Linked DNA regions of Daphnia pulex. Each later gene encodes a partner of the first gene's protein in a complex. Links are inferred from orthologs where the notes say so. Each region holds a gene or a part of one and is shown on either strand. Other genes may lie near its edges.

Region 1 (4,792 bases):
ACGTTGTAGCTGTTGAATCATGTCTGTCGCGAAACATTCCGACTACTCAGACGAAGACGAAGACTTTAGTTCTTTATATTCGGGGGCTTGTAAGCGTTTTAAAAAAGAAAAGCAAGCAGTTTGTTCTACAGGAAAACCGCATCTTGCCAACAAAAAAGAGACCAAAATTTTTACCTCAGCTGGAAACGTATCACCAACACCTGTTCAGCAGATTGATGAAAGTAGTGATGAAGAAGTACTTAGAGTTCCAAACAGAGAAATTCAAGAAGTTGATTTAGATGAAACAGAAGTTCACGAAGAAACAGACAGACAAGTGGAAACTCTAGAAGACATAGAAGACTGCATCAATATATCACCTGAAGTGTCATTTTCAGAAGATCTTACATCACGTAAACTCAGTAAAGTACCTGCAGCAATACAAGATGAAATTGAGTGTGAGGAGGACCCACTCTATTGTGCTTCGTTGAATGATTCGGTAAGAAGTGAAAAATGGTTTTGGTAAATAATCTTTTATATTCTCTTGCCTATATATTTCTATATTTTTGTGCAGCAATTGAATCAGACCCTTGATGGTGATGAAATAGTGGTAGTTAAAGTTCGCTTCATTGCCCAAAAAGTGTGGAGGATAGAAATCAAAAGGGTAACCTTCAACATCCAACATATCAATAACTAGTCCACTACATTTTTACTATTATTACTATTATTCAGGCTGATTATTTCAAAACCATCTGCCAGAAATTATCAGAGATCACTGATGTGGATGCTGGACAAATAATTCTATATTTCAATGATCAACTACTGAATGACTATGACAGTCTCAAAACAGTGCCACTTGGGATATCAGACATCATTGGTATGTTACTTGTCATTCAAATTACAGTCCATTTCAGCGTCATAAATCGGTTTTAGCAACCCTGGCATGAAGTCAATTGGTTTTCCAATGTAAAAACTTTGGACGATTGGGTTTGGTATTAGCGAACGTTGTAACAGTGCTTTTTTTTAACAGATGCTTCAGTCTGCAAAGAAGGAGTTGTCGTCAGCTCCAACGAAACATTGTTGGAGTTAAAGGTTCAGAGTCAGAACCGGAATGCACAAGTGGTTATATCAATGCGCCCCGAAGACCCTATGGCAGTTTTGATGCAGAAGTATGCGGAAGCAACCGGGATTGATTTGTCCAAATTGAAGTTTAAATTTGACGGCGAAATGTTGGAAGAAGATGACACACCGTCTAGTCTGGAATTTGAAGGTGGCGAGTGTATCGATGTTTTCATTAGAGAGTAGTTTATTTGTTCACTACATTTTTCTTAACTTTACTACTTTGTATATTTTCCCTTGCGCAAATAAATTATGCACTAATAAACAAAAATTCGAAAGACTTTTGTATTATGACGCACAATGTATTTTCATACCTCGCAAATAAAAATTGGTTAAGATAGAAGGCAGAAAACACAGATGGAAAAATTTGTGGGAGGGTGTAGTGGCTTAAATCCTAATATGTTGATGTTACAAGTCTTCATCATCTTCTGGTAGTGCAATGTGTTGAGCTTCCTCCAATTCACCTTCAATTTGCTTCTGCCAATTAGGATCCATCTGCACCTCAGGTGGCTGCAGAGCAGGCATAGCAACAAACTCTAGGTTAGGGTCTCCAATTAGCTTACGTGCTAGCCAGAGGAAAGGCTTTTCAAAGTTGTAGTTTGACTTGGCACTAATGTCATAGTACTAAATGAAACCAAAATTTAGCAAATTGCATTTACAATTTAGTAGCACAATTAACATACCTGGAGATTCTTCTTTCTGTGAAAGACAATGGATTTGGCCTTGACTTTACGATCTTTAATGTCAACTTTGTTGCCACAAAGAACAATTGGGATGTTTTCACAAACTCGGACCAAATCTCTGTGCCAATTTGGAACATTTTTGTAGGTGACACGAGAGGTTACATCAAACATGATGATAGCACATTGGCCCTGCAAGATAAATGAAAGTCAGTCGAGACCATGTGAATACAAGTATGCTGACATTTACCTGAATGTAATATCCATCTCTGAGACCTCCAAACTTCTCCTGACCAGCAGTGTCCCACACGTTGAATCTGATGGCTCCACGGTTTGTATGGAAAACCAAAGGGTGAACTTCCACACCAAGTGTGGCCACATACTTCTTTTCAAATTCACCAGTCAAGTGACGCTTAACGAAAGTGGTTTTTCCGGTACCACCATCGCCAACCAAGACCAGCTTGAAAGTGGGCATGTCAGGTTCGGCAGCCATTCTGTTGTAAATCCTACAAATAATGAGAAAAGATAAGTGAATCGATCAGACTTGATTGCGTCATTCAACAAGAATTTACTGGAACTTAATCTAACGACAACAAAATATATTTTTCTAAAAATTTACACACTCGTGAACACTTACAAGTTAACTGTCAATGTTTAATGTCAAGAGAAAAAAGGGACTATTTCAAACAACTACCACAGAACAGTTTTACCGCCACTGACTAGCTTAGTGCGTTGTCTTTGATGGAGGAAGATGACTGTTAGAGGTTACAACTTGAAAAATGCAGAATAAAATAACTATGATGACTAAAATACTTTCCATGCCGAATTAAAAAGAGATTGGCAAAAGAAACATTACTGCTTACTTAAAACAACGAAAAGATGAAGGATGTGGACAATATTCGAAGATAAATCTAACTCACCGGCGGTTTTAAGCTTTAGGTTCACAATCGCGCGGTTCTAATACCAAACTGGTCTCTAAAAATTCTGGTAGCGTAAAGGCTGGCTGAAAATGGGTGGCTCTAAAAAATTCCTAGCGAGATGTTGCCAAATTTCACTAGGAGAAACGGCGGGAATATTTTCCTTTTCTTTGAAAAAAAGACGGTTGGAATTTGAAAATGGAAAGTAGGCTGTAGCAGGGCTGTAGCTCTCTATTTCTCTAAAGCCTGTCTAAAGCTTTGAATGTAATTTATTAATGTTGAATTTCATTCAGGCCTATTAACGGGATGATGTTTTTTAATTTTTTAATCAACAATATATTTATTTTGTGTGAGATTAAAATGCTAAATGTGTTAATAAAAAGGATAGTAGCACTTAATTCAAATGAAATTACCTTTTAAAAGAAGAAAGAAATTCCTATAAGCATCACTGTATATAAATTAATTAATAGGACATTAAAAGACGTGGTAGCAGCATGATGAATATTTCTGTCAAAGTTATGATTGCTGTTTTTTTTGTTAGTCATTATTTCATTGTATGTTATAAAATCAACCGTTCGAAGAAAAATAACAACGGAGGCGATCATTCATACAAGCATCTGTATTTATTGATACGATGAATTTCTGGGTTACAAAAAATAATGGCGAGTTTTGTTTTACAAACAAAATATCAATGAACTATTACAAAATAATTTTCGGAAGGTTTCATCACAGTGTATAAAATCTTGGGAGATAAAGCTATGACGAACATTTTGATGCGATACCGGTTCGTTTGTAACTCAACGCGAAACTGACTACTTGAACGAGGATCCAAACAAAAAACGCAAGACAAAGGGGAATATGGGGATAGGGGGTTTCAGTAGTCATCACATTCCACATTGGCGAACTAATCATGCACACATAAAAATAAACTAAAATAATCTGAAATAAACATGGAACTCCAAGTTTTATCATATATAGTTATCAAAGTTAGGAGATTTTTTTATTTTTTGCAGCTTCAATGAACTTTGCCATCAGACTCTTGACAGAAAATGGGTCCTCTTTTTTGGCTCTTGTTTCTTTTTTTGTGCTTAACCTTGATGATGGATTTTTTCCAGAGTGCCCAAAGTGATTACTAGTCCTCTTGTTTTTGCAGTTAACATTCTTTGATGCCTTAAGTTTGTTTGATGTGATGGAAGGCGATGGGGCAATCAGACGAATGGTGGCGAATAAATTACCTTCTTCATCCACGTCTATGTCAACTTTTGACTTTGGTACCGAAGATGTAGAAGGACGACTCAATGGGACTTTTGTAGTAGCTTCTTGTGGTGATTCCAAATGTGAAGGTGCGAAGGGAAGCAGTCGAATCTCGTCGGGATCAATGACACTGGATTCCTCGAATTCAGATTTCACCAACCAAACCGGCGAATTGTGTTGAAGTAATTCAACTTTCACAGGCATAACATGCGGGGCCATTTTTGTTAATTTTCTGGGAGATTGGCTTACATTGGTTTCGATCAATCGTTTTTTTGCTTGAAGAGGTGTTGTTGTTTCGGGAAAATCGGAAAGAAGAAAGGGATTGGCAGTTATTTTCCCAGCGGCTAACGGTGGGTTAAGGACGGGAGCAACGAGAAATGGAGGTGCAATTGGTGCAACAGTGGTGATGAATAATGGATCCATTTCCATTTCTTGATCCATTTCTTTGACATCTTGAGGTTCCAGGAAATGGGTAAAACAAAGACGACTGTCATCGAGTGGATCAAATGCGCTGCCTTCCCAACAAATGTCTTCACAAATAGCGGGCGACTCGAGCTTCACGTTAGGTATTTGAGGTTTCTCCGTGAAATGGGAAAATGGCATATCCTTGTTAGAGATGTCAACATCTTCCGACACATCCTCAAATTGAAAAGGTGGACTGCAATGCCAATCAGATAAATCAGGGGTCTTCTTGGACATGGAGTCTTCAAGGAAAGTGGTCTCCATCATCACTTCTTGTTCCATTGCTGTTGCTGAGTAACGATCTGGCATTACAACTTCTCGAATTGGTGGAACATTCGTAACAGATTCCTGTGAATTCGGATATGCTACACGAGTAAACTGTGC
Region 2 (4,334 bases), on another chromosome or scaffold:
TGGGACTAGTCGATTATAAAGACATGTAGTTGAACGCTGATACGCCATGACGTAAAGCCATAAAAAATCTTGAGAAATAAAAAAAATACCAAGTGAAAGGGGCTTAACCGTAGCGTAGTCGGTTTGACTATTTTTTCCTCCTAAAGTTGGAAATGATCGATGAGTGACATACTGGACAGGAAAATATTGATACGAAAAAATTATGATAACTCAATACGTGATGGTTTCCCATTCCGCAGAGCTCGTCTGTCATCTCCTTTCGAGTTCTAAATGCTGAAACCAGATCACATATTAAATCTCGGTCGGCTCACGGCTCACATCCAAGAATGTTACCATCCAGTCAGTCCGGAATAAATACGACATTCCATCGTGATTCGTGATGACGGCATACTCCACACTCTTTTGAATCAACCGTACAATAAAAAGAAAAGAAACTACATATTAGGTTCTTACTTGTATTGAATTTGATTTGAAATTTGCCTGTGGTGAAATCACGGTCGTCTCAAACGGGGATTGTTATTGTACAGATCGTAAAAAAATAATTGAATGAATAAAATAGTGAAATGGGGGATCACAAGAAAATGGAAGAAACAAAAAGAACTCAAATTATGCATGACTGACCCAAGTCGATCATTTTTTTGCTTCGTTCAATTTGGCCAAGAGTTCATCGGCTTCAGTGTCCGTCTTCACACGAAGGAGCATGGGTGTCGGGACAGGCGGCGTTTTTGGATCAATAGGCGGGTTGGGAATGCAAACCAGCATGACATTATTCTTGCCGATTCGCTGGGTCGTTATTTGTGGGTTTAAAATGATGTTTAGAAGAATGTTGCCCAGCGAGGTATCGGCACGGATCACCAGTTGCGTTTTATCGTCCTTGACTTTCTTTAGATGGATTGTGCCAACACCTTTTTCCGTGTAATTGGCATCCTTTTTGTAAAACAGTTTACATCTGAGCGGGAAAAATGTTAGCGTTAAAACACAAAAAATAAGCCAATAAAAGTAAAATTTGTACCTTATAGAATAGAAGGCGTCTTCCTCTTTGACTTCTTTAACTTCCACTTTAGGTGGAACGTCTTCATCTTCTCCTTCCTCGCCGTCTTTACCACCTTCCGCTTCTTCCTTTTTCACTTCTGTTGCCGGCTTAGTACTAGAAACACAAAGATAATAATACGAATTAAAGACATTAAAATGAAAAATTGATTTGTTGGATTACTACCTAGAAAACCCGAACGAAAAGGCTGGTGCGGTAGTAGTAGTAGCAGCAGGTTTAGTGCCGGAAAAGGCAAACAACCCGCCGGTAGAAGGTGGACTAGTGGTTGAACTAGTGCTGGATGCCTTGAACGAAAATGTCGATAACGGAGTCTTTGATTCTTGATCACTTTTAGCAGGGGCGCCAAAGGAAAAAGTTGAAATCGATGGTGCTGTTGTCGGCGTTGAGCTAGCGAATGAAAATGTTGAGGGTGGTTTGGCCGGTGTAGAAACTGTCGACCCATTGCCGAAGAAACTGAAAGAGGGTTTTGGAGCTTCTGCTGATGCAGAACCAAATTGGAATTTCTTGTCTTCAAGCTTCTCACTGTCAATCTTGCCAGGTTCAGTAGTCATGTTTTCTTTTGAAGATGGTGAAGCTCGTTTGGATTCTAGATCTTTCAAATGCTTTTCATAATCTCGAAAGATGGGAGTGAGTACACAGCATGGGTTCTTTTTTACATGGTCTGTAATCCATGTTGTAACAGTCTCATTCAGAGACTTTAGGTTGGCAAGGTACTCTTTTTCATTAGCCCCATTATCAGTTGGTGTCTTTTCTCCATTTTCTGTCTTGCCTGTTTCTACAGTAGTTGGTACTTTGATAGCAAAGTTGGAGAATGCTTTACTGGGTTCAGAACCTGTGCGAACTCCAAAACCAGCAAACCCAGAAAAACCCTTCTTCGCCTGTAAGGGAATAAAATAAAACACGCTGTAAAAAAATATTCTGGAATTGGGAACACGGTTGTAGTTCTGTCATTCATTCAAACCTGGTTACAAAAAAACCTGAGAAATATGTGGAAAACATCTGACACACTTAAATACTAGTTAACCAATTGACTAGATTGTTACTTAGCACAATAAATTACCTCTCCATCATTGCCTGCAATCCTTCTTTTTGCTTGTCTAATCACACGGCCCTTTAATGCCTCGTCCGAAGCCTGTTGGAAGCTTCCCGCCTCCTCCTCCTCTTCTTCGTCATTCCAGTTGTCGTGATTTAATTCTCGAGTCGCCGTACGCTTAGCCATTTGAAGTTACCTGTTGGGTTAATAAGTCAACTGAACGGAGTCTTACTCTTACAATTTAAAACTGAAAGTAAATTACAATTTCCGGTTTCACACGATTTTCACACGATTCGAGCCAGTGAAAAAAAATTCTGGCAACACTGTCTGGCAACAATGTTGCCAGACATTTTTTTTAAACATCGTTTACTCGAGGTCGTACCCATCTTTCGAGAATATAAATAAAATTCCATTCAATGAGTGAATAGCCTAAAAATTGCCGATAATTTACCTAAGAAGAATTCAGACGTACCCAGCTCACGGCAAAGTCAAAGTGGAAGAGAAATTATACTTCACGACATTCCATGGGTGGGATAGAAATGTAAACGAAAGTTTGCTGCTGAACGGGTACCTGCATGTTGAAGGACTGCATCTTCAGATCGTAGTGCGTCTCGGGCAGTAAATGAGTGACAATATGAGTGCGGGTGTTGCCGCCCAAGACCGTCACCTTGGTGTAATCTCCAGCACTTGTCGTCGAATGGTAATAAATGAAGAAACCTTCTAGAGGAACGCATAGTCTAACATGAGCCGAACAAGAATCACAAAGAACAGTGCACTCGAATCAAATAAGAACATAAATTTGACTGAAAGGCACGGATTTGGATTTTACATGAGAAAAGATAGAAAGGGCAAAATCTTCAAATAACGGGAGTACTTGAATTATGTCAATATCCATAACTAGTACGCAATTTAAAAAATAAATACAAAAAGAAAACAACAACAGCCCAAAAAGAAAGAAAGAAATCGCAAGCAAAAATTGAATTTCGTAAAATTGGTTTACCGCAAAAAAATGTCCGGGTGTGTATCACCCTACTACACAATACAAGTCAATTAAATCCAAACGACTTTCAAATAAAAAATCGCACCGGCCTGTGTCAGTCACTCACAATGGTCCTTACAAAGATAATAACTTATCGTTGATAAGTTGCCAACAAATCCCATTTGGTGTCGCTTGTGTAGTGCTAGTGCCCCAGTGATAATGTATAACATACAAAAACTTCCCCGGCTCCTGACAGCTTACAAGGCGCTGGAGCGTCTGTCGCAGAGCCAGTTTAATCTCGATCAGATTGCCGTCGTTGCCGAGGCGGCCAGTGGCCAGGTGGATCTGACGATGCAGTCGGAGCAGTCACAGTGTCAGCCTTTCGGAAGCGGTGAGGAGTCGTTGAGTGCCAAAGCCGGATCTGGCGGTAATTCATCTCCGCTGGATGCCACATGGATCAAAAGCGCCCTCACTCTCAACGACGTCGAACGTGATCAATGCCGGCCACTGTCAAAATACATGAGGAATATGATGATCTTCAATTGGCTGCACACGCTGGAGGACGGCCCAACTGAAATACTCTAAAAGAAAAAAAAAAGGTTACGATGAAATCTCAACGAGCTAGAAGACGAATAGCGCCAAAATGTATACAAGGAGATAACCCAACTAGATCGCCGATGGAAAAAAAAAAGTTTGAACCAACACCATTTCGGTTATATTAACATCTTTCGAGAACTGGTATTATTTATCTACAATTATCTAATTTCTCCTTCTGCGACGGACGAGCAAACGAAAACCCCACGGTGTTTCATTTAGCGAATGATTTATTTCCGTATACTGTATGTCGCACACATATACTTGTGAATCTATACTTTCCATTCCACGATTATTCTTCTTTCTTTATAAACGGACCGCGGTTGCTGCTGGACTACAAAAAGACAGCATTCACTCAACTGCGGCCTCGATTTCTAAACAGCAACCCCCGAATAAAGATAACTAGGTTTGGCGTTAAGAGTTTACCAGTATTATTGATGTTCCAAGTTTAAATAGTATGATGCCCGATTCAAGAGATACATATGGCTAAACGAGTAAACGGGCACCGATACGATCCTACACAGTAAGATACAATTAAGGTGTCAAAGCATTTCCTTTTTAGCCAACGCAACCACGCTACAAGGTTAAATACGGTTGATATGGTTCACCGCTATACGCTGGATTTCGTCAATAAATCGTATAGGTCTTCTAACTGCAGCAGTGGTTCGGTATCCCTT

The links.
Region 2: the proteins of GTP-binding nuclear protein Ran (region 1) and nuclear pore complex protein Nup50-like are in contact, whole or in part, in a crystal structure (PDB 7MO0), measured with the Homo sapiens proteins. The link is inferred for Daphnia pulex from reciprocal best matches to the Homo sapiens genes RAN and NUP50. Residues at the interface, in NP_006316.1 of Homo sapiens: Arg29, His30, Thr32, Gly33, Glu34, Phe35, Glu36, Phe52, Val124, Asp125, Ile126, Lys127, Ser153, Asn154, Tyr155, Phe157, Glu158, Phe176, Ala178, Pro180, Ala181, Leu182, Ala183, Pro184, Glu186, Val187, Asp190, Pro191, Ala194, Tyr197; in NP_009103.2 of Homo sapiens: Pro344, Pro345, Lys346, Val347, Val352, Lys362, Cys363, Lys364, Phe366, Tyr367, Lys368, Asn371, Glu372, Phe373, Lys374, Glu375, Lys376, Gly377, Ile378, Lys384, Lys390, Gln392, Leu394, Arg396, Thr399, Asn400, Leu401, Asn403, Ile404, Leu405.

What each region holds. Positions count from the first base shown.
Region 1 is NC_060020.1:1,358,132-1,362,923, reverse strand, and holds GTP-binding nuclear protein Ran, read right to left. Parts: upstream 2,849-4,792; 5' UTR 2,696-2,848; exon of another isoform or gene 2,639-2,695; intron 2,511-2,638; exon of another isoform or gene 2,413-2,510; intron 2,282-2,412; 5' UTR 2,269-2,281; coding exon 2,026-2,268; intron 1,968-2,025; coding exon 1,779-1,967; intron 1,720-1,778; coding exon 1,504-1,719; 3' UTR 1,367-1,503; downstream 1-1,366. Other genes in the region: NFATC2-interacting protein-like, read left to right, coding at 20-475, 551-640, 709-853, 1,007-1,281; uncharacterized protein LOC124192239, read right to left, coding at 3,680-4,792. UniProt on the Homo sapiens protein: GTPase involved in nucleocytoplasmic transport, participating both to the import and the export from the nucleus of proteins and RNAs. Switches between a cytoplasmic GDP- and a nuclear GTP-bound state by nucleotide exchange and GTP hydrolysis.
Region 2 is NC_060026.1:3,790,814-3,795,147, reverse strand, and holds nuclear pore complex protein Nup50-like, read right to left. Parts: upstream 2,410-4,334; 5' UTR 2,347-2,409; intron 2,281-2,346; 5' UTR 2,271-2,280; coding exon 2,112-2,270; intron 1,930-2,111; coding exon 1,217-1,929; intron 1,155-1,216; coding exon of another isoform or gene 1,148-1,154; coding exon 1,013-1,147; intron 950-1,012; coding exon 631-949; 3' UTR 442-630; downstream 1-441. Other genes in the region: uncharacterized protein PF11_0207-like, read right to left, coding at 4,242-4,334. UniProt on the Homo sapiens protein: Component of the nuclear pore complex that has a direct role in nuclear protein import. Actively displaces NLSs from importin-alpha, and facilitates disassembly of the importin-alpha:beta-cargo complex and importin recycling.